Linked DNA regions of Lonchura striata. The protein of the gene in region 1 interacts with the protein of each later gene in a pairwise test. Links are inferred from orthologs where the notes say so. Each region holds a gene or a part of one and is shown in the gene's direction. Other genes may lie near its edges.

Evidence for each region. The genes of interacting proteins can lie anywhere in the genome.
Region 2: the proteins of ARRDC1 (region 1) and WWP2 interact in binary tests that used the Homo sapiens proteins (3 or more experiments, as listed by UniProt). The link is inferred for Lonchura striata from reciprocal best matches to the Homo sapiens genes ARRDC1 and WWP2.
Region 3: the proteins of ARRDC1 (region 1) and ITCH interact in binary tests that used the Homo sapiens proteins (3 or more experiments, as listed by UniProt). The link is inferred for Lonchura striata from reciprocal best matches to the Homo sapiens genes ARRDC1 and ITCH.

What each region holds. Positions count from the first base shown.
Region 1 is NC_134624.1:4,150,801-4,158,094, reverse strand, and holds the start of ARRDC1 (arrestin domain-containing protein 1), read left to right. Parts: upstream 1-4,285; 5' UTR 4,286-4,360; coding exon 4,361-4,478; intron 4,479-7,294. UniProt on the Homo sapiens protein: Functions as an adapter recruiting ubiquitin-protein ligases to their specific substrates. Through an ubiquitination-dependent mechanism plays for instance a role in the incorporation of SLC11A2 into extracellular vesicles.
Region 2 is NC_134615.1:23,108,430-23,115,518, forward strand, and holds the start of WWP2 (NEDD4-like E3 ubiquitin-protein ligase WWP2), read left to right. Parts: upstream 1-4,083; 5' UTR 4,084-4,196; intron 4,197-6,270; 5' UTR 6,271-6,284; coding exon 6,285-6,354; intron 6,355-6,824; coding exon 6,825-6,972; intron 6,973-7,089. Other genes in the region: RNA-binding protein NOB1, read right to left, coding at 1,606-1,875, 2,254-2,398, 2,480-2,577, 2,713-2,943, 3,032-3,163, 3,234-3,305, 3,435-3,568, 3,663-3,795 and 1 more. UniProt on the Homo sapiens protein: E3 ubiquitin-protein ligase which accepts ubiquitin from an E2 ubiquitin-conjugating enzyme in the form of a thioester and then directly transfers the ubiquitin to targeted substrates.
Region 3 is NC_134619.1:13,573,463-13,581,051, reverse strand, and holds the start of ITCH (E3 ubiquitin-protein ligase Itchy homolog), read left to right. Parts: upstream 1-4,583; 5' UTR 4,584-4,680; intron 4,681-7,589. UniProt on the Homo sapiens protein: Acts as an Acts as an E3 ubiquitin-protein ligase which accepts ubiquitin from an E2 ubiquitin-conjugating enzyme in the form of a thioester and then directly transfers the ubiquitin to targeted substrates.

The sequences.
Region 1 (7,294 bases):
AATAGGCTGGTGGACTCCAGCAGCAGTGGGGAGCTGCTGCAGAGTCCCAGGACATTGTGCCAGAGCAGCTGGAAGTGTCAACCAAGGCCTGGTTGAACAGGGCTTGGAGTAACCTGGTCTGGAGGAAGGCATCCCTGCCCGTGGTAGGAGGAGGAATGAGATGGTCTTTAAGGTCCCTTCCAACCCAAACCAGTCTATAATTCTATCATGTATTGATCCCAGAGATTTGTACTCCACTGGTGGGACATCCAGCTCCACCCTTGGGGAAGCTGCCTGGGAGCTGCCTTGCAGATGAACCCACAGAAGGGGCACAGGGGACTTTGGCTGTGGCCTCCTGCGAGGAGAGAGACTCTGCAGGGAGGTGTGGCTGAACGGTACCACCTCTGCCTGAACTGCTGGAAGGTGTCAGCCTGAAACAAATGAGTAATTGTTGTTGCTGTTGGTATCAGATGACGTAGTTTACCCGCCGGCAAATCAGCTGAGAAGAGATGAGGCACTGAGTGAAGCAGGGAAATTATTTAGAAAGGTAATAAACCTGTGTAATATAAATATATTAAGGTAATGGATTTTATGTACACAGGAATACAGAATGGCTGTCAGTGGTGTAGGTAGCACGGGGAGCCCACCACGACAGTTCACATGTGTCTTTTTTCGTTCAAAGGAAACTTTAGAAACCTAAAGGTCAACTTGCACAAAGCTCTGCTGCTTTACTTCCCCCTCCATCACAGCCGCTCCGGTGCCTGCCCTTATGGGGCGGGGTGGGCTCACGCCAGTCACGCCCTCGCCAAACCAAGTAGGAGTGGGGGGAGAGATTGCAAACGCAAAAGAGAATTTGAGGGCGGAGAGACAGACTCATCTTGTCACAAGAGAGCAGGAGAGGCTCTGGGTGTCCCCGCGGTGCCGCCTGCCAGGCTCGCCCCTGTCCCCTGCAGCCGCGGGGCAGGTGGAAATGACCTGGAGGTACGAAGTGCCCCAGGGGAGCCGCGCCGCTGCCGCCGCCGGGAACGCGGCGTCAGCCACGGCCCGGGTGCGCCCAGGCATTTCCGCGCTGCCTCTCCCGGAGCAGCCCCGGCGCAGGGGAAACTGAGGCACGCTCAGGTGGGGCTGCGCCTCCTCCGTGTCAGCGTCCGCGTCTGGAAACTCCTGGAAAGACAAGAGGGGAACAAACAGAAGTGACAAGCAATGTCTGTGACTTAATGGTGGAGGCTTGTGCGTCTCGCACTTGCGGCCACAGCTGAGCCCTCCGTGGGCACATTTTCCCCACATGTGGCACCACTGACAGCTGCTCTGCCAGCACCTGTGCTTCCAGCTCGTCTGTGCTGCTGGCAAAGCCCGGCTCAGGTGCTGCTGAGAGGGAGTTTATTGATAATTTTTTTCCCTTTTAATAACTACTATGTTCTTTGTCAGAAAATTTCATGTTCCTTGAAGTTAGGGGAATGTGGTGACATCTGAAAGGAAAATTTTATTCTAGAGCTTGTCTTGACATTTTTCTTCTCTCTTTTTAAATTTCCCTTTTAATAAGGGGGAAGGGAAGCAGGGAGAGCACACAGAATGCAGAGGAAGTGAGATTTCCCACCACAACAACAAAACTCTTCAAAACATTTTTTTTTTTTAAGCAAAACAATAGTCAAAAATATCAGAAAGCAAACCATGGCAGTTTACTAAACATCCTTAGCTTACTTTTTTTTTAAACTGCTCTGAGTTTTAACTCCAATGAGTCCTCACACAAATAGATAAGAGGAATGGCTCTGGGGTGAGCAGGGAGGTAGGAATGTAAATACACGTTTTGACTGCAGTGAGTAAAATCCTCCTGAATATGGCATCACTGGGGGGATGATGGGCGCCCTGGCACTGCAGGCATTGTATACATTGAATTATAGAGTCACAGACTGGTTTGGGAACTTAAAGATCATCTCTCATTGCATCCCCTGCCATGGGCAGGGACACCTTACACTATATCCTAGGATGTTTCAATCTCTGTCCAGCCTGGCCTTGCACAATTCCAGGAATCCAGGGGCAGCCACAGCTCCTCTGGGGGACCTGTGCCAGGGCCTCATCTCCTCTGGGGAACCTGTGCCAGGGCCTCACCTTCCCCTAAGAAGGATTTTTCTTCCTAACATCCAATCTAACCCTGCTCTCTGTCAGTTTAAAACCACTGTCCCTTGTCTTGTCACTACCTAGCCATATAAAAAGTCCCTCTCTTTCCATTTTTTAAAGCCTCCTTAAGATACTAGAAGGCTGTAATGGAGTCTCCCTGAAACCTTTTCTTCTCCATGCTTCAATTATATCAATCCAGTTACATTTTACAGACTGCTCTACCCAGTGTAGCTGTGATCCAGGGGATGGAGCTGTCCTGTGGCATTGCTGCTGGCCATGGCATGACGAGGGACTCTGTGTATCTTAGCACAAATCCTTGCAGAACTGAAGCTGTGCCTGGGTGCTTTTGTTCAGCTCCTGATGCAGGAATCCTTTTTACTCACGTTGTGACCTTGGGCGAGCAACTTTGCTGTGCTTAAAATTATCTTCTCTGCAAACAAAGTGCATAAATCTCCATGTCAGGTGAAGCTGCAGCATGGCACAAGGGGCTTGGGTTTGGTGAAGGGTTTTTCCACCCTGAGTTGTCACATGTGTGGTGTCCCTCTTGGGCAAGGGTGCCAGTGCTGCCCCAGAGATGGTGTAGCCCTAATTGTGCCTCAAAGCATGATCCTTTGGCTACTTTCCATGGGGAAAAAGGGTTCAGTAAAATCTGCTGTAGCTCAGGGTGTTTTCAACCCCCCTCTCTTCTCCTAATTTGCTTGGTTTTGCTGGCAGAGCTAAATAGGGGCTGCAGAGACTGATGAAAGAGGCTGCAGGCTCGTCTTACAAAATAAAAAGGCTGGAGCAAATTGGCGTGCCTAGCCTGGGAAAACAGAAGCTAAGGGCAGCACAAGGAGAGCGGTGTGCGGACGGATCCCAGGGTACGCCCTGCGGGAGGAGATGAGCTGCAGAAAGCCTTGGCACAAGACTGTTGTGTGTCTGTAGCCTGTGACTACACGCAGCCTGGAAACCAGAGGAGGAGGGAGGCCCTGGAAAGGCTTCCCAGCAGGAGCCCTGTGTGCCTGGAGCACACGAACTCCTTTGGTACCTTGTGAGGGTTTTCAGGTTGCCAGAGCCACCACAAGGCAGCACGGAGAGTCCCACAGCCCCACATCCCCAGGCTGGTGTCACTGTGGGGCCGTGGGAGGATGTCTGTCTGTCCAGCCAGGTCTGGGCTGGGTGTGCTCTGCAGATAAACAGCTCCTTTTACACTTATTCATTCTGCCTGTGTACACAGCCTGCTCGCCAGCGGCCGGGAGGTGCCTTTTCCTGGCGCTGCCTTTGGTGTGGGTTTTACAGATGGTTTTTATTCAATCAGGCAGAGATGAGGGGAGAACATGGCAAATGTATGAAGTGCGCTGGTCATCCCTGGCTTCCTGGAACACTCTGACCTTCACCCACTGATCCACAGAGAGTACGGGGTCATCAATGACTCTTCAGCCCCAGTCCCAGTTTGTTGTCAGGTCCCTTGTATTTGCCTCTTACAGGACACTTAAAGCAACTGGGGTCATACAAACAGGAGCAGGGAGAGGTGACAGCTGGGGCTGGAGAATTACAGGGAGGAAATGAGATTAGAGGGAGCAGGGATCACCAGGAGGCAAGACGGCCCTGTGTTGGGCAGTCAGCTCCTTCCCCCAGAGCCCGACCCCACAACCACTCCTTTCCCCCAGAGCCCGACCCCACAACCACTCCTTTCCCCCAGAGCCCGACCCCACAACCACTCCTTTCCCTCACATCCGACCCCACAACCCCTTCTTTCCCTCAGAGCCTGCCCCAACCACTTCTCTCCCTCAGAGCCCAGCCCCACAGTGGCTCCTTTCCCTCCCAGCCTGACCCCACAACCTGCTCCTTCCCTCAGAGCAGTCAGGGACCCACCATTCTCTTTCCCTCACAGCTCAGCCCCACAATCTGCTCCTTCCCTCCCAGCCTGACCTCACAGGCAATCCCTTCCCTCCCAGCACAGCCCAGCCCCTGAAGCTGCCCTTTCCTCCACGGCTCCTTCCCTTCTAATAGTCAGGGCTGCATCAGCTACCCCTTACTCCATAGCCCGACCCTGCAGCAATGAGGGGTCCATCAGCTACCCTTCCCTCACAGCCTGGCCGCACAATTGCCCCGTTCCCCGGGCACTCGGCACCCCCGCACTCGCGGCGCCGGGCCCGCCCCGCTCCCTCAGCGCGGCCGGGGCGGGGCGGGCCGGGGCGGTCCCGCCCGCCGGGGCCGGCACAGCGCGGGCCGCAGGTGCGAGCGGAGCGGAGCGGAGCGGAGCGGCCGGGCCGGCGCGGCCATGGGCAAGGTGCAGCTCTTCGAGATCCGCCTGGGCGACAGCCGCGTCGTCTACAGCCCCGGCGAGCCGCTGGCCGGCACCGTCACCGTGCGGCTCTCGGGCTCGCTGCAGTACCGAGGTGAGCCCGCGGCCTGCCGTGCCCCGCGGGGCGGATATCCCGGGGAGGGGCTCGCGGGCTGCCCCGGCCCGCGGCCGGGCTTCCTCCCCCGGCTCTGCGGACCGGCGGCTCCGGGGCTGCCCCATCGCTGCCGCCCCCGCTGCCATGCGGCGGCCGGGAGGGGCTGATGGGAGCAACCTGCTGGATTATTTCCTCCTTCCTCCGCTTCCTCCTCTTACTTTTTGCTCCTATCCCATAAAATAAGGAAACATCCTCCCAACCCCCTTCCCACAACGCCCCAGCGCGGGGCTGTGCCACGGCAGCCTCCGGAGCTGGCGGGTGCCCAGGGTGGCAGCGGGAGGTGGCGGAGGGGCTCGCCCGTCTCGTTCGGCTTTCCCGGAGTCCTGCGGCTTCCCAGGGCTGCCGGCATCGCCCCGGCACAGCCCCGAGCCTGGTGCCCTGGGTCGGACGGACGCGAATGTGTTGGGCAGGGAACTGGGCGGAGGTGGGCGATGCCGTGTCCCGGCAGGAGCGGCACCCACCCACCGGCTCGCAGGCACCGTCCGCAGCCAGCAGCCGTGTTGTAACGTCTCGAATGAACTGGGGCATTGGAGTTGTGGCTCTGCGAGTGTGGGAGATGTCCGCGGTGTGTACGAGGTCCTGTGAGTGCCAGCAGTGGTCTGGAGCAGGAGTTGTTGTTGCTCCACGCAAGGCTCAGGCCATGCTCGTGGCTGGTGCAGTCCGTCGGAGCAGAGGGATGGGGCTGGACTGCAGGGAAATGAGCTGGCTGGGCTCGGATCATCCAAACTGGGAGCTTCCTCCCCCGCCTGAGAGAAGTCATTCGCATTTGCAAGTCAGCTTTGTGCTCAGTGCTGTGGAAATGTGAACCAATTTGCTGTTTTCCCTGAGGTCTTGCTTGCTTCTCGTGTGTGCATGCTGCTTCCTTTGTAACAAATTATTGGAGGGGGGAAAAAAGACCAAGTAATGTAAAATGTGAAGTCTCTGTTCAAGAGCTGTCAGCCTGGATGATGGTGCCTCTGCCTGCCGGTGCCTTGCTTTTGAGAGCACCTCTCCCAGTTGTCTGCAATAGCTTTTGGAAGCTTCTTGTGGAAAAAAAAAGTATCTAGGACAAGTGTAAACTTGTAGCCTGTTAAACTCCTGTCAGAGCAAAACAGTCGCAGATCCAGCGTTTATCTCCTTGGAGAATACTCCTGGATGCACTTCCAGCAAAGATGTTCCTAATGAAGTCTGGCTGACTTCCCTCGGCCCATCCCATTGACTTCCATCCATTCCTGAAGGTGCTTCTTGGGAGGGATGAGAGTTTGGCCTTAGAGGGTTTGGTGTGCTGGCCCTTTGTGCTGCCAGCTGGCCAAAACTACTTGCTGCTGCCTCTACAACTCCCATTTGAGGAGGACCTGCCAGGTTCTATTCTACACCAGCTCTCCTCTGCTTCCTGGTGTTGTTGTAGGGAAGGAGAAAGGCTTCTCTTTGTTCTAGACCTCCTTTCTGCATCCTTATTGCCTTGATTCGGAGAAGTATCAGGGTCTGGTGTTAAGTACAGGTCCTGAACTCAGGAGGGGTTTTGCTGTGGGATCTGGTGTTTGGGGCTAGTGCAGGGATTCTGGTAAGAGCTGGGTAAGAGCTCTAGGAAAGCTGTCAGATGCATTGAGCCGAAATCTGATGTGGGCTCCATGTGATTGATGCTTCTGTTGTGCTGAGATCACTGAGCAGCTCTTCTAGACTGTTTCATGTACAGTGGCTTCATGAGCTGGGCTAGAAACTTTCCATTACTGGTGTCAGAACTCACCCAGTTAAGTCACATTTGGGTGTGAAACCAACTTCTGCCAAGCACAGGGTGACACTTTGCTGTGTGTTCTCCCTCCTGCTGGTGCTTAAACCTTCCATACTTCATTTCTTGGGCACCCTCTCCTTCTTCCTGGATGAAGGAAGTGTCCCACCCTCAGAGGAAGAGGTTCCTGTAGCTGCTTGAAACATCCTTTTGCTGTAACAGCAAAAGAGATCTTAAAGAGACTTGTGAGCCCTGTTGAGCACTGTGGGCTCGGCACTAGAGGGATCAGACAACCTGACATCCTCTGGCTTCCTACTGGGCTGTGAGGAGAGCTGTGTGGAATCAACTCATTTTACATTGTATATGCCCCCCCACACCTTCTGTGGCCAACTGTGACTTTCCAGGCTAATAAACTGCTTCCAGGAGAAGACACAAAGTCTCACCCCTGGCAGGTCTGGCCCTCAGCACCACGATTTGGTGCTTTCCATTTCCTGAGCCAGGCGAGTCTGGCGCGGTGACTTCTCGGTGCTGTGGTGTGTGAGATCACAGCCGGAACCAGCCTGGAGGTGACTCCTCACACGGTAACTTCTGGCTCTTGCAAATTACACCTTCTGAAAGGTGACAGTGCAAACAAACACAGCTCGTTGTGCCTTGCTAAACACGGGGGAAATCTTGGGTCATGGGGCAGCGTAGCTGGGGACACACCTTTTTGGGATCATTGATGTTCCCACTTAGACTGGCGTCAGTGCCAGCCCTGCTGACTGGCACTGAGGGCTGTTCTGGAGCACATCTTCTTCAGCTGACCTTGCAGCAGCATCACAAATACTGACTGGTCCTTGGTGACTCATGTGGACCTTCTGAGGAGCCACATTTCTTCCTGTGCCTGTGCCAGGGTGAGGGACCTGCCCAGAAAACTTCTGAGCCTCAGGGGAGAGCGCTGATGGAAATGGAGAATTCCTGATCATTGTGCCTGGTTTGCTGGGTAAATCATCAAACGTGTGTGCACAAAGAATAATTAATCTTACAGGAAGCTTGCGCAGGGACAGCT
Region 2 (7,089 bases), on another chromosome or scaffold:
GCCTGGGATTAGGGAGGGCTCCTGTGTTCACCTGACAGGGAAAAGGCCTTGGCTTTGTTTTGCCACGGAGCTGCCCGTTGGGAAAACGTGTCCAGAGGGAAGTTCCTGTTTGGAAGTGGCTCTTTGGGTGTTGCAGAACTGGGATCCCCATCCAGTATCCTTAGCAGCCTGCAGCATTCCTGAGGCTTCTTTATTCTGGATAAAAGGAGGCAATTTGAATTATTTCCATCTGAGCTGATGCTGAGTTAAGCTCCAACCCCTGCAGAGCAGAGCTCCAACCTCTGTCCCTGCACCTCAGGTGGGCTCTCCCTGCCTGCCAGAAGTTCTGGGTGCACCCTCGACCGCTGAGCTGCCTCTTCTGTGTCCTGCAATGTGAAAGTAGCACCAGATACTCCTTCGTGCAGTTCTGTGTATATGGCTTTCGTAGGTGGGTTTTCCAAGCACTGATTCCCGGTGTTTTCAGTTTGTCTATGAGGGGATATTTTATTTGCATCTATGTTTTTAGCTCTCCTGTGATAACTTGTTGAATATTAAAAAAAAAAATATTTTGCTTCTATTGGGACATTTGTATACTCGCAACTATATTTCTGTAAACAGCTGCAGTCGAGAATAAACGATGAAAGTTTTCATTTTACACTGTAAAGTCTTGTGATGGTTTTTCCAAGGGCATCTCCAGAGCCGTGCCTGGGGTGCTGCAGCTGCTGCAGGAGAACGTCCTGGGGAACCACACTGACTCGGTGGTGTGGGACCCCAGTAACCCCTGGGGGCTGCCCAACCCAGCCCCCAGCTTGTGACCAAGGGAACAGTTCCCAAAGGAACAGCTTCCAGAGCCTGGGATGTCATTTTGGGGACTGGGGGAGAGGCAGTCTGCCCAGAGAGGTGAGGCCAGGAGTCCAAAGCCAAGATGCTGCAGTGACCCCATCCTCAGCAGGATGTGAGCGTGCCTTACCCAGTGCCCTTTATCTGCAGCTTTGGCAGCCTGGAAGTGCCCTGGGGCTGGGGAGGCCCAGCTGTGCTCCCCTTGGCTGTTCCCAACCTGTGACCTCCCCAGCACCAGGGGCCACAGCTGCTGTCAGGCATTTCCTTATTTTGAACAATTTCAGCAGGGCTAAGGAGAAACTGCAGCAAGAGCCGGGACCAACAGTCAGCTGTGAAAGATTTCAGCAGATCCCAGAGTTTCCCCCTTCAGCCATGGGCATCGCCCAGTGCAAGGGTGGGACACAAGCCCCTGCCCTGGGGTTTTGTCCTTCTGTAGCTCATTATCCCGTGGGACAAACGATCCAAGAACTCCTCCCTCCCTCCGTCCCAGCCTCCTTTTTCCTCGAGGCTCAGAGAAAGGCACAGGCAGCCGCAGAAATGGGACTGAGCCACGGTGCTTTGGGGTTTGGTGTTTATTGGGTGACACAGCCCCTGCCCGGGGGTGCCCAGGGAAGCCCCCGCGCCCTCCCCGTGCTGGGGCCTCCCCAAACCCGTCACCCCCGTCACGGCGGCTCTGGGCACCAGCGCAGCGGGGACAGGACGGCCTGAGCCGTGCCAGGTGCTGGGAGCGGCCCTGGCAGAGCCAGCACCAGCCCTGGGCAGGTGTGCCCGGGGCCCGTCCCGCCCTCACCTCCTCCTCACGAACTTCTTGGTGACGGCGTTGGGGTTGAGGCGGCGGCGGCCGGCGCCCAGGGCGGCGTCGCGCAGCTGCAGGTGCGCGGCCCGGCTGTGCACGTCGTTCTCGGCGAAGGGGGAGGCCCCGGCCAGGTAGTCGGGGTCGAAGACGTCGGTTTTCTGCCGGGCCTTGCGGGACAGGCGCTGCTGCGGGAAGCGCTGGTCCTCCACCAGGTGCGGGTTGTTGGCGTGCTTGCCGCCCTGCGGCGCCGGCAGCGGGTACTGCGGGAGAGCGGGGTCAGCCCCGGCTCCGGGGACCCCAGGTGACCCCAGCCCCAGAGCCCTGGGGTCCAAGGGCAACATCTGGAGGATGTTAGCAGTTTGCTTTGATTCCTTCCAGCCTGCCAGCCACAGGCCGGGCTCCCATCCCTGGGATCCCAGTGGAAGAATTCCTTCACAGAAAGAGTTGTTCAAGGTGGGAAGGGGTGCCCAGGGAGGAGGTGGGGTCCCCATCCTGGGAGGCGTGCAAGGAAATGACTGGACCTGGCACTGAGTGCTCAGGGCTGGCTGACAAGGGGAGGATTAGTCCCAAGTTGGATTTGATGCTCTTGCTGGTCCTTTCCAACCTCAGCGAGTCTGGGGTTCTGTCCAGGTACTCACCCTGAGCCCCCGGGGGTTCAGCACCTTGGGGTTGCGGGAGAAGTGCATGTGGAGACTCCCGTCGTCGCTGACGCTCACTGCCACCTTCTTGAGCGTCTTGTTACCGCAGTGGGGGCAGAACACCTTGGTCATGTCCGAGGTGGTCCTGCGAGGGGGGCACGGGGGGTTCAGAGCTCCTGGGGCCGTGAACACAGGCTCAGCCCGGGCTCAGCCCCAGCCCTGGCACCTGAAGCAGCCGTGGCAGCGCAGGATGTAGCTGCGGGCCCGGCGGATCAGCATCCCGTTCACGGCCAGCACGTGGAGACCCATCTGCAGCAGCACGTTCTGCGAGAGCGGGGACACAGCTGGGACCTGCAGCTGGGGCACTCGGAGCCCTGCAGGCTCTGCAAGGCCTCTGGGACTGAGACCCTGCTGCGTGACACACGGAGCTGTCCCAGAGCCCTGCAGCTCGGCACCCACCTGCATGGCAAAGTCCGTGGTGACACAGCCCACCTGGACACCGACGGGAGCAGTGTCACAGTGCCCCGCGTCCAGCTGGGCCTGCTTCAGGTTGCTGGGAGTTATCCAGCCTTCGTCATCGCTCTCCTCATCCTCCTCCTCCTCCTCCTCCTCCTCCTCCTCTTCGCCGGCGCTGGTCCCGTCTGCAGGGCCCCGGCGCTCCTCGGGGGGCTCGGGGCTGCCGGTGATGGCCTGGGCCGCGGGGGGAGATGGTCAGGGCGGCCCGGAGGGTCGGAACGACCCGGCAGAGAGGCAGAGCGAGACTGCAGAAGGTTCTCACCAGCAGCTCCTGCAGCTCCTCCTCGATGCTGGGCAGGGGCGGCCGCCAGTACAGGAAGGAGCCGAACTCGTCGCTCTCGGCCGGGGCCGGGGCCGGGCCGGGCTGGCGGGGACCCTTCCCCGCGGGTTTGTGCTGGGGGCACACACGGGCGAGCTCAGCCGCGGCTCCGCGGGGCCGGGCTCGCCCTCCCGCCGGGCCTTACCTTGGCGGGCAGGTGGAAACCGGCGAGGTGCAGGGGAGCCTCGGGGTGCCGCAGGGTGGAGCTGAGCCGCACCTGGGGGCGGCACGGGCCGTCGGTGGGGCTCTGGAACCGGGGCCCGGGCCCCGCTGGAACCGGGGCTCCGTGTCCCGCTGGAACTGGGGCCCGGGCCCCGCTGGAACCGGGACCCCGCGCCCATCCTACCTTATCCTGCGGCTCCCAGCGGATGCTGCCGGGGCCGTGGATCTCGGCCTGCAGCTGGCAGGTGAGGGCGAGCACCTGCAGGTCGGCGGCCGAGAGGCTCGGGTAGTCCCCGGTCTTCTTGGAGAACTCGGTCACTGCGGGCGGAGCAGCGGCGCCGTCAGGCCGGGCCGGGCCGGGCGGGGAAGGGGCCGGGCGGGGAAGGGGCCGGGCGGGCCCTGCCGCACTCACCGAGCCGCAGCAGGTCGGGGCGCGGGCGGCGCACCCGCAGCTCGCAGGGCAGCGCGGCCAGGCGGCGGCGCGCCCGCCGGTCGCGGATCTCGGCCAGCACCTCGGGCACGGTGTACAGCGCGTCCGCCACGTCCTGCGGGCAGCGCCGTCACACCGGCCCGCAGCCCCTCACCCTCCCCACCCCCGTCCCCGCGGTGTCCCCGCGGTGTCCCCGCGGTGTCCCCGCTGTCCCCCTGTCCCCGGTACCTGCAGCGGGGCCGCGCTCAGGAACGCGCCCGTGTCGGCCACGACGTGCGGAACACGCGCCATGTCCGCGCGCCCCGTGGCCCGGCCCGGCCGCCGTCGCGGCGCCGCGGGGGGCACGCCGGGAGTTGTGGTCCGGGCACGGGGCACGCCGGGAGTTGTAGTTCGGCCGGGCACGCCGGGAGCGGCGCCGCGCCGCGGGAGCGCTTCCGGCCGGCGCGGTCACGTGACGGGCCGGGGTCACATGACGGCGGGAGCCGGAGCCGGGCAGCGGGAGAGGAGCGGCTGCCGGTAACGGGACCGGGACGGGAACGGGACGGGGACGGGGACGGGGACGGGGACGGGGACGGGAACGGGAACGGGACCGGGAACGGAACGGGACGGGAACGGGAACGGGACCGGGACCGGAACCGGGACCGGGGACGGGAACGGAAAAGGGAACGGGAACGGGACGGAATCGGAATGGGAACGGGATGGGACCGGGACGGGAACGGGAACGGAAAAGGGAACGGGAACGGGACGGAATCGGAATGGGGACGGGAACCGGAACGGGGACGGGACGGGCTCGGCTCGGTTTCGCTTCCCGGCCCAGCCTGGGGCGCTCCCGTCCATCGGGCGGACACGGCCCGGTGGGGCGCTCCGGCCGCCGGGAGCTGCTCAGCTGTGCCGGTCCCGGCCCGGTACCGGCGGGGCCGCGGGCAGCCCCTTCGCCGCCGCCTCCCGTGCGCGGTGCCTGCCGCGCCCGGCCCGGCTCTGTGCGGGGCCGGTCCCGGTCCCGGTTCGGTGTCGGCCGCCCGGGCGCGGCCCCGCGGCTGTCCCGAGGCCGGGCCGGGCTGGCGGAACGGGGAGCCCGGGAGGAAGGGCGGCCCCGGCCCGGCCGAGGGGATCCCGCCGGGCGGAGGGGGCGGGAGCGCCCCGGGGCCGGCCCGGTCACGGCCCCGCCGCGCTGGGGGTGCCCGGGGAGCGGCAGCGGGCACCGGGCGATGTCCGGGAGCCGGAGGTGCTGGCGAGAGCGGCGCTGTCACAGCGAGGGACGGAGAAGTGCGGAGTCGGGGGAAGGGGAAGAGCCGGGAGGGCAAGGAGGGAGGCAGGGAGCCCCGGCGGGGCAGGGCTGGGTACGGCCCCGGTGGAATCCCCGCAGTGGGGAGCTGGGGACGGGAGCAGCAGCAGGATCCGATATCCTCGGGAGCCCGGGGAGAGCCGTGGGCCGGGATGACGGGGATGTGTCCGGGATGGCTGGGATGGGTCCGGGATAGCGGGGATGGGTCTGGGATGGCTGGGATGGGTCTGGGATGGCTGGGATGGGTCCGGGATGGCTGGGATGGGTCCGGGATAGCGGGGATGGGTCTGGGATCCCTGGGGTGGGTCTGGGATCCCTGGGACGAGTGACCCAGGAGGCTGGGCAGTGTCCGGGAACGCTGGCTGCTGCTGGATGGAGCCAGGACAGTGCTCGGGCAGTGCCCAGCGGGCACCTGCAGGCAGAGCTGGGGGCTGTACAGGGCACAGCCAGGCCCTGGGCTGCCAGGCAGGTTTGCTGTGACCCTGGGAGAGGGGATTTCACAGGGATCTGCCCTGGGATGGAGCTTGGGACGGTTCAAGGAGGATGAAGAGAGAGGGCAGGGAAGAGGCTCCTGCACAGGGAGAGGGGCTGGAGCTGCTTCCCCGTTTTCGTGCTTCCCTGTTGGGGAGGGGAGGCTGGCACTGCCTGGCCGGGCGGTTCTGGGCTGGGCTGGGAGCTTGGCTCCCGTGCTCTGCAGCTCCTGGGAGCGGCAGGAGGAGCTGGCTGCTCATCCCTGCGCTCTGCTCGCTGCTTCGGGTACCCGCCCTGGCCACGCGTCCCACGATGGTGCTGGAGGCCTTTCCCAGCCTCAGTGATCCTGTGGGATTAATGAAGCCAGGGCTGCCCTTGAGGTCTGTGGTCCTCATGCTGTGACTAGACCTCTGTCTGTCCAGCTGGTCCTGGCACAGCCATGTCCCCGTGGCACTGCCGTGTCCCCGTGGCACTGCCGTGTCTGCCCGGCACTGCCGTGTCCCTGCCATCATGTGTGCTGAGTCTGTGTCCCCCAGGGCAAGGCTTTGGTGGCTGCTCTGTCCCGCAGCAGCCCTGGGCTGTGGCTCAGGGGTTCAGGTGCCCAGAGAGGTGTTTGGAGTGGCAGTGCCCAGCTCAGCCCGTGGCACTGCCATGCAGGGGCTGCTCTCCCAGGGACACAGCGCTGCCTTTGGCATGGGGGGTTCATCAGGAGAGGAGCCTGTGTGCCCCGGGTCTTGCCCAGCCCTTTTCCGGGCACTGCAGCAGCCTCGGGCCGTGCCTGGGTGCCGTGGCAGCGGGGCTGAGCGGGGCTGAGTGTCTCCTTCTCCTTTCCAGCCGGGGGTGATGCCATGGCCGCTGCCAGCTCCAGCAGGGCCAGGGCCGGGCCGCCCTGCGAGAAGTCCCCGCTGTCTGTGAAAGGTGGGTCCTGCTGCCCCTCCGGGATTGCCCCTGCCGGGAACGTGTCCCGCTCTGCCCGCGGGGAGCAGGGCCCGGGGGTGGTGGCCGCGGGCCCGGGGCCGTGCCGGTGCTGCCGTGGCCGCGAGATGGCTCCCGGCGCCCGGAGCCGCGCCCCGGGGAGCCGCAGCCCGCCCTGCCCCTCCGCCACACCGCCGCCCTGGCGCTGCCCCGGCCCGGCTTGCCCCTGCCCTGGGGCAGGGAGGTGGCCGTGGGGACAGCGACAGTCCCCTCGGAGGGGTGAGGCTGGGACGTGCTCAGGGCTTGATGCCAGCCATCGCTGCCACCAGGAGCATTGCTCCCTGCTGCCCCTCTCCAAGTGCTCTGCTGCGAGTGTGGCACCCGAGCTGGCAGGGGCGGGCTGGGGGACAGGGCAGGGACGGGGCAGGGGTCAGCGTGTCCCGCAGGCCTGACCTGTGCTCGTCCCTGCCCAGTGGTGTCCGTGAAGCCCAAGGCCCAGAGCCGCTCAGCACGGATGAACTGCTATGTGGAGGTGGCTGGCGACGGGCTGCCCAGTGAGACCAAGAAGACGGGGAAGCAGATGGGGGTCTCTGAGCTGCTGTGGAACGAGATCCTCACCCTGTGAGTCTGTGTGACCCCTGGTCAGGGGCCGGCCCCGTGTGCCCTGCCGTGCCACTGGCTGCCACTCGGGTGGCAGAGCTTTGCCCCGTGTACGGGGACACTGCCAGAGACAGCCAG
Region 3 (7,589 bases), on another chromosome or scaffold:
TTGCAATGAGCCAATCATATAATATGCACTTTTCACCCATGAGCAGCTGCTGAGAGAGCTGAATTTGTTCAGCCTGGAGAAGAGAAGGCAAAGGGATGCTTTACAGCTGCCTAAAACTGCCTGCTGGGAAGGTGTGAGGAGGATAAGCTATACTCTTTGCAGAGCTGTGAAATCACAAATATAAGGAAATAAAATGGACTAAGGGGCATCATACACTGGACTAGGGCACAAAGGGGCTGTGCGATCTCCAGCCTTGAAGGTATTTATCTCTGACCTATTCTGCATTATCTAAGTTGGTTCTGGTTCAAGCATGGGATGGATCTAGAGGCCTCCAAAGCTTCCTTCCTACCTGAATTATTTTGTATTTAAGTGATTCTGTCAGGATTTTTGTGTGCCTCACACAAAAACCAAACCAAACCAAAACAACAACAACAAAAACCCTCATACCACTTAACTAAAAAATCATTAAACATTTGTAAAGGAGCTAAGAAACCCAGCCCTGTTTCCAAGTTTGACAAGAGACTTGCTGTGCAACCCTTAGGAAAATATGTAACATTGGAAAGAAGAGGTTTGTCTTGTGTGAGGTCAATAGAGTTGGCTGAGTGGAAAACAAAGGGAATGAAGGTGGGGTCTGTTTTAGGAGAGGGAATCCTGTACTCTAGGGATAGGAGAATAATAAGAATGTTCAGTGCTTCTGTTACACAGCCTTGTCCCAGCCCTTTAGCTGAAGGAACCTAAGGCCCACAGGTATCAGAAAGCAATGTCCATTTAGACTTCTGCTCAAAAATCAAACAGAATCCCAATATTTTAATGATCTTGCATTTTTTATTTTTATTATTACACAAATTATTTTTATTATTACACAATTATTACACAATTTTATTTTTATTATTACACAAAAGGTTCAAACATGGAAATCATTTACACCACTCTGCCACACAGACCCTTATCCTCAGTGGCTTCCCAGTCAGCTCTCAGCACGAACAGCACTCAGTGAGTGTGGCAGTTCTCTTACAACAGGGTAAGTTTCCATTAGAGATGTGAATATTATTATTTACAATAGCCCAACAAAGAATAAACACTACACATATTTTGCCACAAGTACAAATCCCATTGACCAGTCTGGACTGGACTGAGAAATAAAAGAAAAATATTATGAAAATTATTAAATATTATTTCTCAGAAATTATCTCCCAGAAGCACAGCTTCACCATATCAAACCCAGCAAGTGTGGAAAGCTACTAAGCATTCAGTTTTCCTGACAAGCCTTTGCACAAGATCATCCTCCAGGAAGGTTCCCTATCTGTTGGGGTTTGTACTTGTCAAAAGAAAGCTATGACAGTAATAGCAAGAAAATTCCATCCTGCCTGAGTATCTTGTAGTTATAAAAAGCATAGGGGGAAAAAAGACAATAATGAAGCATTATACTCTTCTCCCCAAAGGTAAATCTTGGATACATAGTTTTTCTGCCACCCAATTATATTCATCTTCATTCACCACGTATTCTGTGGTAATTATTTATTTGGTCTTCCAGTTCACTGATTCACAGGCCATGATTTTTACTCAGGCAAATGATATCTGAAACAGTGTGAATGTGACAATTGCTCTGCATTCCTCTTGTCCTGGAAAGCACAAACTGATCAGTAGTCTGCATCTGGAATACAGTCTTTTTCTCATGAATTTTACAGAGCAGATGGAACAAATGGAACTTAACTGGGGGCATCAGAAGCTGGAAAACAAAGAGAGTAGGGCTGCCGAGGTTGAAAAAAAGAACTTTATCTGAAATGCCAGTTGGAAAAGGAGGGGGAAGATAGTAACTCAGAGGACAACTGATGTGATGTTCTTAAAAACAGACACTGAGTGTTATTCATACCTGCTTTAGCAACCTTCACCTACCAAAACCAAGTACAACAAAAAGAAACTGCAAATGGTCACACTGCCCTGGGGATGGGTACATGCACCCCTGCTGGATCCTACAGGGGCTACAGGGATGTGTCCTTGGGGCAGCATCCGGCTTCTTCCTGCAAACACTCAATTCTGCTAAAGGAAAAATTAACCCAGGCGGCTGGAGAGAAAGGTACAGTGCAATGGTCCCACCATTGGGAATCAAACCACAGGCAATCTGCAAAACCAGAGTTATGTGCCAGCTGGGAGACAACAAACCCACCACAAAGGATGCCCAGCTTTGGAACTCCAGCTGCAGTCAGCCAGAGTGTCACTGGCCAGGACAGGAACTGGATGAGAGACCACTGTTTATGTAGGTGATGCATGAGACAGAAATCTCTGTTAAGCAAGGCTTTTAGAACTCATTTTTATCATTATTAATTTGAACAGAACATTAACTATGGAACTTTAAATGTATGTCTACATGGTCAAATATCTCTAAAGGAACATAGAGACTTAAAGATGCATAGAAAAGGTTTAGAGAAAATACAAAAATCTAGTCCTTATTTCAGCTGATCAATTTGCTTATCATTATACTGGGCTGTAACCTTGGCTCCAAACTTGCTTCCCATGAATTCCCACCTCTGACAAAGCCGCAATGCTCCTGATTTTTCCATACTCAGCCTCTAGCTGAGCAGCACACATTGTTCTGTGCTGGAATTAAAGTGATTTCTGTGCCTGAAGTGATGTGCACATGTACCTTGGCCAGTCAGAACCATAGATGGCTGATTGGCATCAAAACACGTGTTGGTCTGTCAGGGAAACAGTTCGAGACGTTTTTGTGCTTAGGCCTTATCAACAGAAGCAGTCACTTAATTGTGGCTGTGAGATATTATTGGAGTTTATGTGTGGAAGACAAGATGGATTTTCACATCCTACCAGTTTTAAGAAAATGCTAAACTTTGCACTGGCAAAGTGCATAATTTTTCTGAAGAATTATTGAGGATATTCTCCTACTCTCTGAAGACTGGATATTCTTTCCTCTGATTTCAGAACATAGACTCTCTCATTCCTCACTGTCAAAAGAGGAAGTGTATTGTAATTTCTATGCATTCACTTATGCAATAGTGCGTTCAGGCTAAGAAAAAATACACTTGAAACAAGAAGGATTTTATGTAAGGCTAAATAATATCAATGGTTTAAGCACCTGAAGCAGACACTTTAAAATCACAAATGTTACTTTATTTTCAAAGGGCTTTGTTTTGTGTCCCAATGCCCACAGTGACAGCAGTGATGTCCCAGTTGCTTGACTGTTATAGACTCATGCTTGCAGGATGTCCCTTTGTGGTCTCAGAGATTTCCCATTACTGGTGTCACTGCAGAAACGTAGGGCCAGTGATGGCCATGGGTTCCTCAAGGTGTTCCTGTACCAGCCAAGCCCTCAGGGGTGCTTTGATTATCCAAGATTTTTACTGTAGTAAAATATACACACACATACATATACACTCTGTTTACGGAATCATAGATTCATGGAATGATTTGGGCGATCCTCCAGAAAGGATTCGGAACTGGAGGCACCGGATCTTCCACCCCTGCCATGGGCAGGGACACCTTCCACTGTCCAAGGCTGCTCCAAGCCCTGTCCAACAGTGCCTTGGACACTTCCAGCCACAGCTCCTCTGAGCACCCTGTGCCAGGACTTCAGCATCCTCACAGCGAAGAATTTCTTCTCAATATTCCATCTAAACCTGACCTTCGGCAGTGGGAAGCTGTTATGTGTAATAAATATAATTCGCACCATTCCTCGTATGAAATATGTAATATTGGATATTTGTTAAATCATGCCCGTTGTATTAGCTCCCCCCCGCCCCCCCTTTGCAGGCCAGACTGGGTGTATATTGGAAACTGATTTACCAGTAAAAGGATGTGGCTCGGCCAGGAGATGGGCCATGTCTGGGCTCCAGGTGTTGATCATCACTATCATCAGTGCTGATCGTCCAAGATGGATATCATGGAAATCCTCAGACAGATTCATGTGAATGCAGCCTTCCCGTAAACTCTCATCAAGAATTCAACTACTCTGGACATTGAATTATTTCTCCTCATCACCAAAAAAAAGAAAACCTATAGACTCTGAATAGAAGAAAAGACTAACTGCTCAAATCTTGGCCTCAGGTGGAATTTTCCCTATAAAAACCGCCTGTGCCAGGATGGAAGTGTGTGGGCATAGGGGAAAACCTCTGCTGAGGCTGACTCCTTGTTGCACATCCAGGGTCGATCCCGGGCTCGGCTCTGTCCTTTCCGTGTGGCTGACTAAATAGAATTTGACCGCAAATAAAATGATTTTTATTTTTAATCTGGCTGAATAAATTCTCATTTATAACAGAAGCCATTGTCCCTTGTCCTGTCACTCCCCTTATTCAAAATCCCTCTCCAGCTCCCTCGAAGCCCCTTCCGGCACTCAGAAGGCGCTCTGAGTTTTCCCTGGAGCTTTCTCTTCCCCGGATGAACACCTCCAGCCCTCCCAGGCTGGCTCCAGAGGATATGGAATTCTACTCGTCGCCGTGAATTTCACGGCCTCTCATTGTCCCTCACGGTCCCTGCCGGTCACTCCCTGTGGCCCGCGCCGAGCATGCGCAATGCATGGCGCAGGGCACGGTGGGAGTTGTAGTCCTTGCGCAGCAGCCGGGGGACTCGGCGCCTGCGCACATCGCGCCCGACTTTGCTAAGTCGCTGCCGGAGGCCGGGCGGGCCGCGCTGCCATCTTGGACCTGAGGGACGGGGGAGCCGCGGCCGGTGAGCGGAGCGGGGCCGGGAGGTGGAGGCACGGGGGTAGCGCTGGTGACGGGACGCGGCGGGGAGACACGGGGGACGCGGGGACACCGCGGTCGGGCCCGGATCCGGAGGGGCCGCTCGGCCCGGGAGGGGCTCGCTGAGGGCGGACCCGCCGCTCTGTGCCCGGGCCCCGCGGGGCAGCGCCCGGCGCGGGGCGGCGCAGCGCCCTGCCGGGACCCCCGCGCTGTCTGCCCCACCGCCCGGCCGCGGCTGCCGGGGGCACCTGCCCGCACCCCGGTGCCTCCAGTTCCGAATCCTTTCCGGAGGCTCGCTCCGTTCAGGGCTGTGCTTTCCGCAGCTCTTCCAGCACAGCCTCCTTCCCCGGTGTGCGTCCCCCCTGTCGCGGGGCTTCTTCCAGGTGTCCGGGCGTTCCGTGTCTTTATCTCGGCCGGGTAAGCCGGACATTGGAGGAATGTGTCCTGGCGATAAAGCGTGACTACAGCCAGAGGTTTATCCCGAACTGTGTTCCCTCTTGTAAACACGGCAGAATGGCAACGTTAGTGCCACCGCTCTATTTTGGAAACGCGGACAAGTTCTGGCTGTTAACTCTTCCGCTGCCACGCCGGTTATCTTTGACCTTGTGTGCCAATGCTGTCGAGATAAAAGCAGACAAAGGTGTTCGAGGATGGATTTCTCTAATTTGCTCTAATATTAGAGAATTCAGCTTGTTTTAATTGCTATAATTTGTGATGTTAAATTGTCAGAAGACCTTCTGATCTGTGTGTGATGCAGAGAAAGGGGCAGGTGTAGCTTTTGGGATACCTGTGTTGTGGCAGCCTTATCCCTTGATGCTTCAGGAAATATCCCTGGCAAAACTTACCTTTATAGCCTAGTTAGAATTGAAGAAGTCAGAAACCGGGATATTTTAGACTGTCTTTTCCCAATATATGGCTGCTTATTGCCATGAGTTTCTCAATGTTTTGTTTAGTCTCTGTTACCCTGCCTGTCAACCTTTCCAAAGAGAAGTGGAGAGACATTTGGACTGGTATTTGAAAGAAGGCATTCTCTGCTGAGGGAGTGACAGTAGATTCAGCAATTGCTTGTATTTACCTGAGAAAAGGCACAGGTGTTTAAGAATGAAACATGAATCACAGGCCATCTAAGGTTCATCTTTTAATGCTTAAAAATGTATTGTTGGAAAAAACAGTAAATTCTTTCCTGTTTTCTTGAAGTGAAAGTCCAAAGCAGTTGTAATTTAATTACAATTACCTTGCTATTCACTACAGCTGTTTAAGTCTGGACTGTGACTAGTGTGCATTCTTAGTTGTGATTTAGGTGGCATTTAATCACTATACTGAATCCATTCACCTCCAAATGATCTTTGGAATAATATGTAGCATTCAGACCCAAAGTGAGTTTTCTTGTCTTTGAAACAACAACAGTAGATGTGAAAGATAATTTTGGAATGGAAAATAACTGAGACTTCTGAGTGCTAACTTTAAAAGCTTCTTACAGATTAAAGTTATTTTGGGGCTTAAGAGAAATTGAGAGGAGATTATTTATATTAATTTATTAATTAAGCAGCATCACCTCTTTTTCTTCCATCAGTTTTCTCTCCCTTCTTAAAGTTATATTTCTTGTGTTGTGACACAGACCTGAAACATGAATTACCTTATTTCTTTGTTTTAAAGTTTCAAAATGGTTTGGGGAAAACTACAGCATAAGGTAATAGGAAGAAAGGCAGTAAAGTAGCATAGTGTTTGTCTTGAGGAGATTAAATTTATAATTTTTTTTTAAGAGAGCTTGTCATAGACTGCTTGAAAAATGTTTCATGAGAGATTTACAAAGTAATTTCCTTCTATTTTACAACATGTGAAAGAGATGCTTGGCAGCAGCATTATCAGTATCAGTCAATTATAGTGTCTAAATAAACATATTTTGTGAGTTTAAGCTGTTTAAACAAAGTGATAAATATATTCAGCCATAGTGAAGTACTTTTCAAGCAGTAAAACCAATTTGATTTCTTCTTAAAAGCAAGGAAAAGAGTCTGCAGGGTGAGAGTAACAGAAAAAGCCCTTGCACATGGAAACAATTAAGCTTCTGGGAGTTTATTTTTAAGCTTTTCTCTTTGGGTGTCCGCTTATGTTTGTGTAATGTTCTAGTTTTTATCATTCTACTGTACTTACATGTAATTGCAGGAACTTCTTTGTGCCCTCACAGCTGAGGAAAGTGAAGGTGTGTGCATAACCCAGAGGAGTGTTGGCCACAGCTCCTTACTGTAACTGTACTTTGCCCAGCTGCAGAAGCATTTTGAAGTGAGTGCTTTCCTCAGAAGAGGACGTAGACAAGTCATGATTATAGTCTAGCTTGGGAGTATTCTGGAAATTTAGTTTTACTGTCTCATAACTTGAGTATTTTTAAAGACTGTAGGCAGTCCTTCTTTGGCTTGGTTGTACTGTTAGCTGAGCTAAATCTGTGTGCACATTTTGGTGAGAGTCTTCTCTCTGAAGACTAAAGCAACAGAGACTTGGTCAATTAGAGTCTCTAAGTTGATGACATTTAGGTTACACTGTAGTGCAGAGTTGCTGGAGCTGAAGGATTGATAATTTTTCTTCATGAGAATTGCAAATTACACATAATAGAAATGAAAGTATTGCAGCAAACTGGAAAAGAGTGTTTTGAAGAAGCCAAGGCCCTGTTTCAAAAGACCAGCTCTCAAGTTATGCCTGGAATTTCTGCTTTTACTATACCAAAGCACAGCAGGGTTTTTTTCTCCCCTCTGAGGAAACATGATACCACATCTTGTTGTGCTGGTTATTCAAATAGTTTTTCAAACTTGGCAGCACGTTGCTGTTATTAAAAAAAAGTTTTATTTTACTCCTCCTGTTTAGGAACGGATAGTTTCTGCCTTCCACCCACCCGCCTGAGCT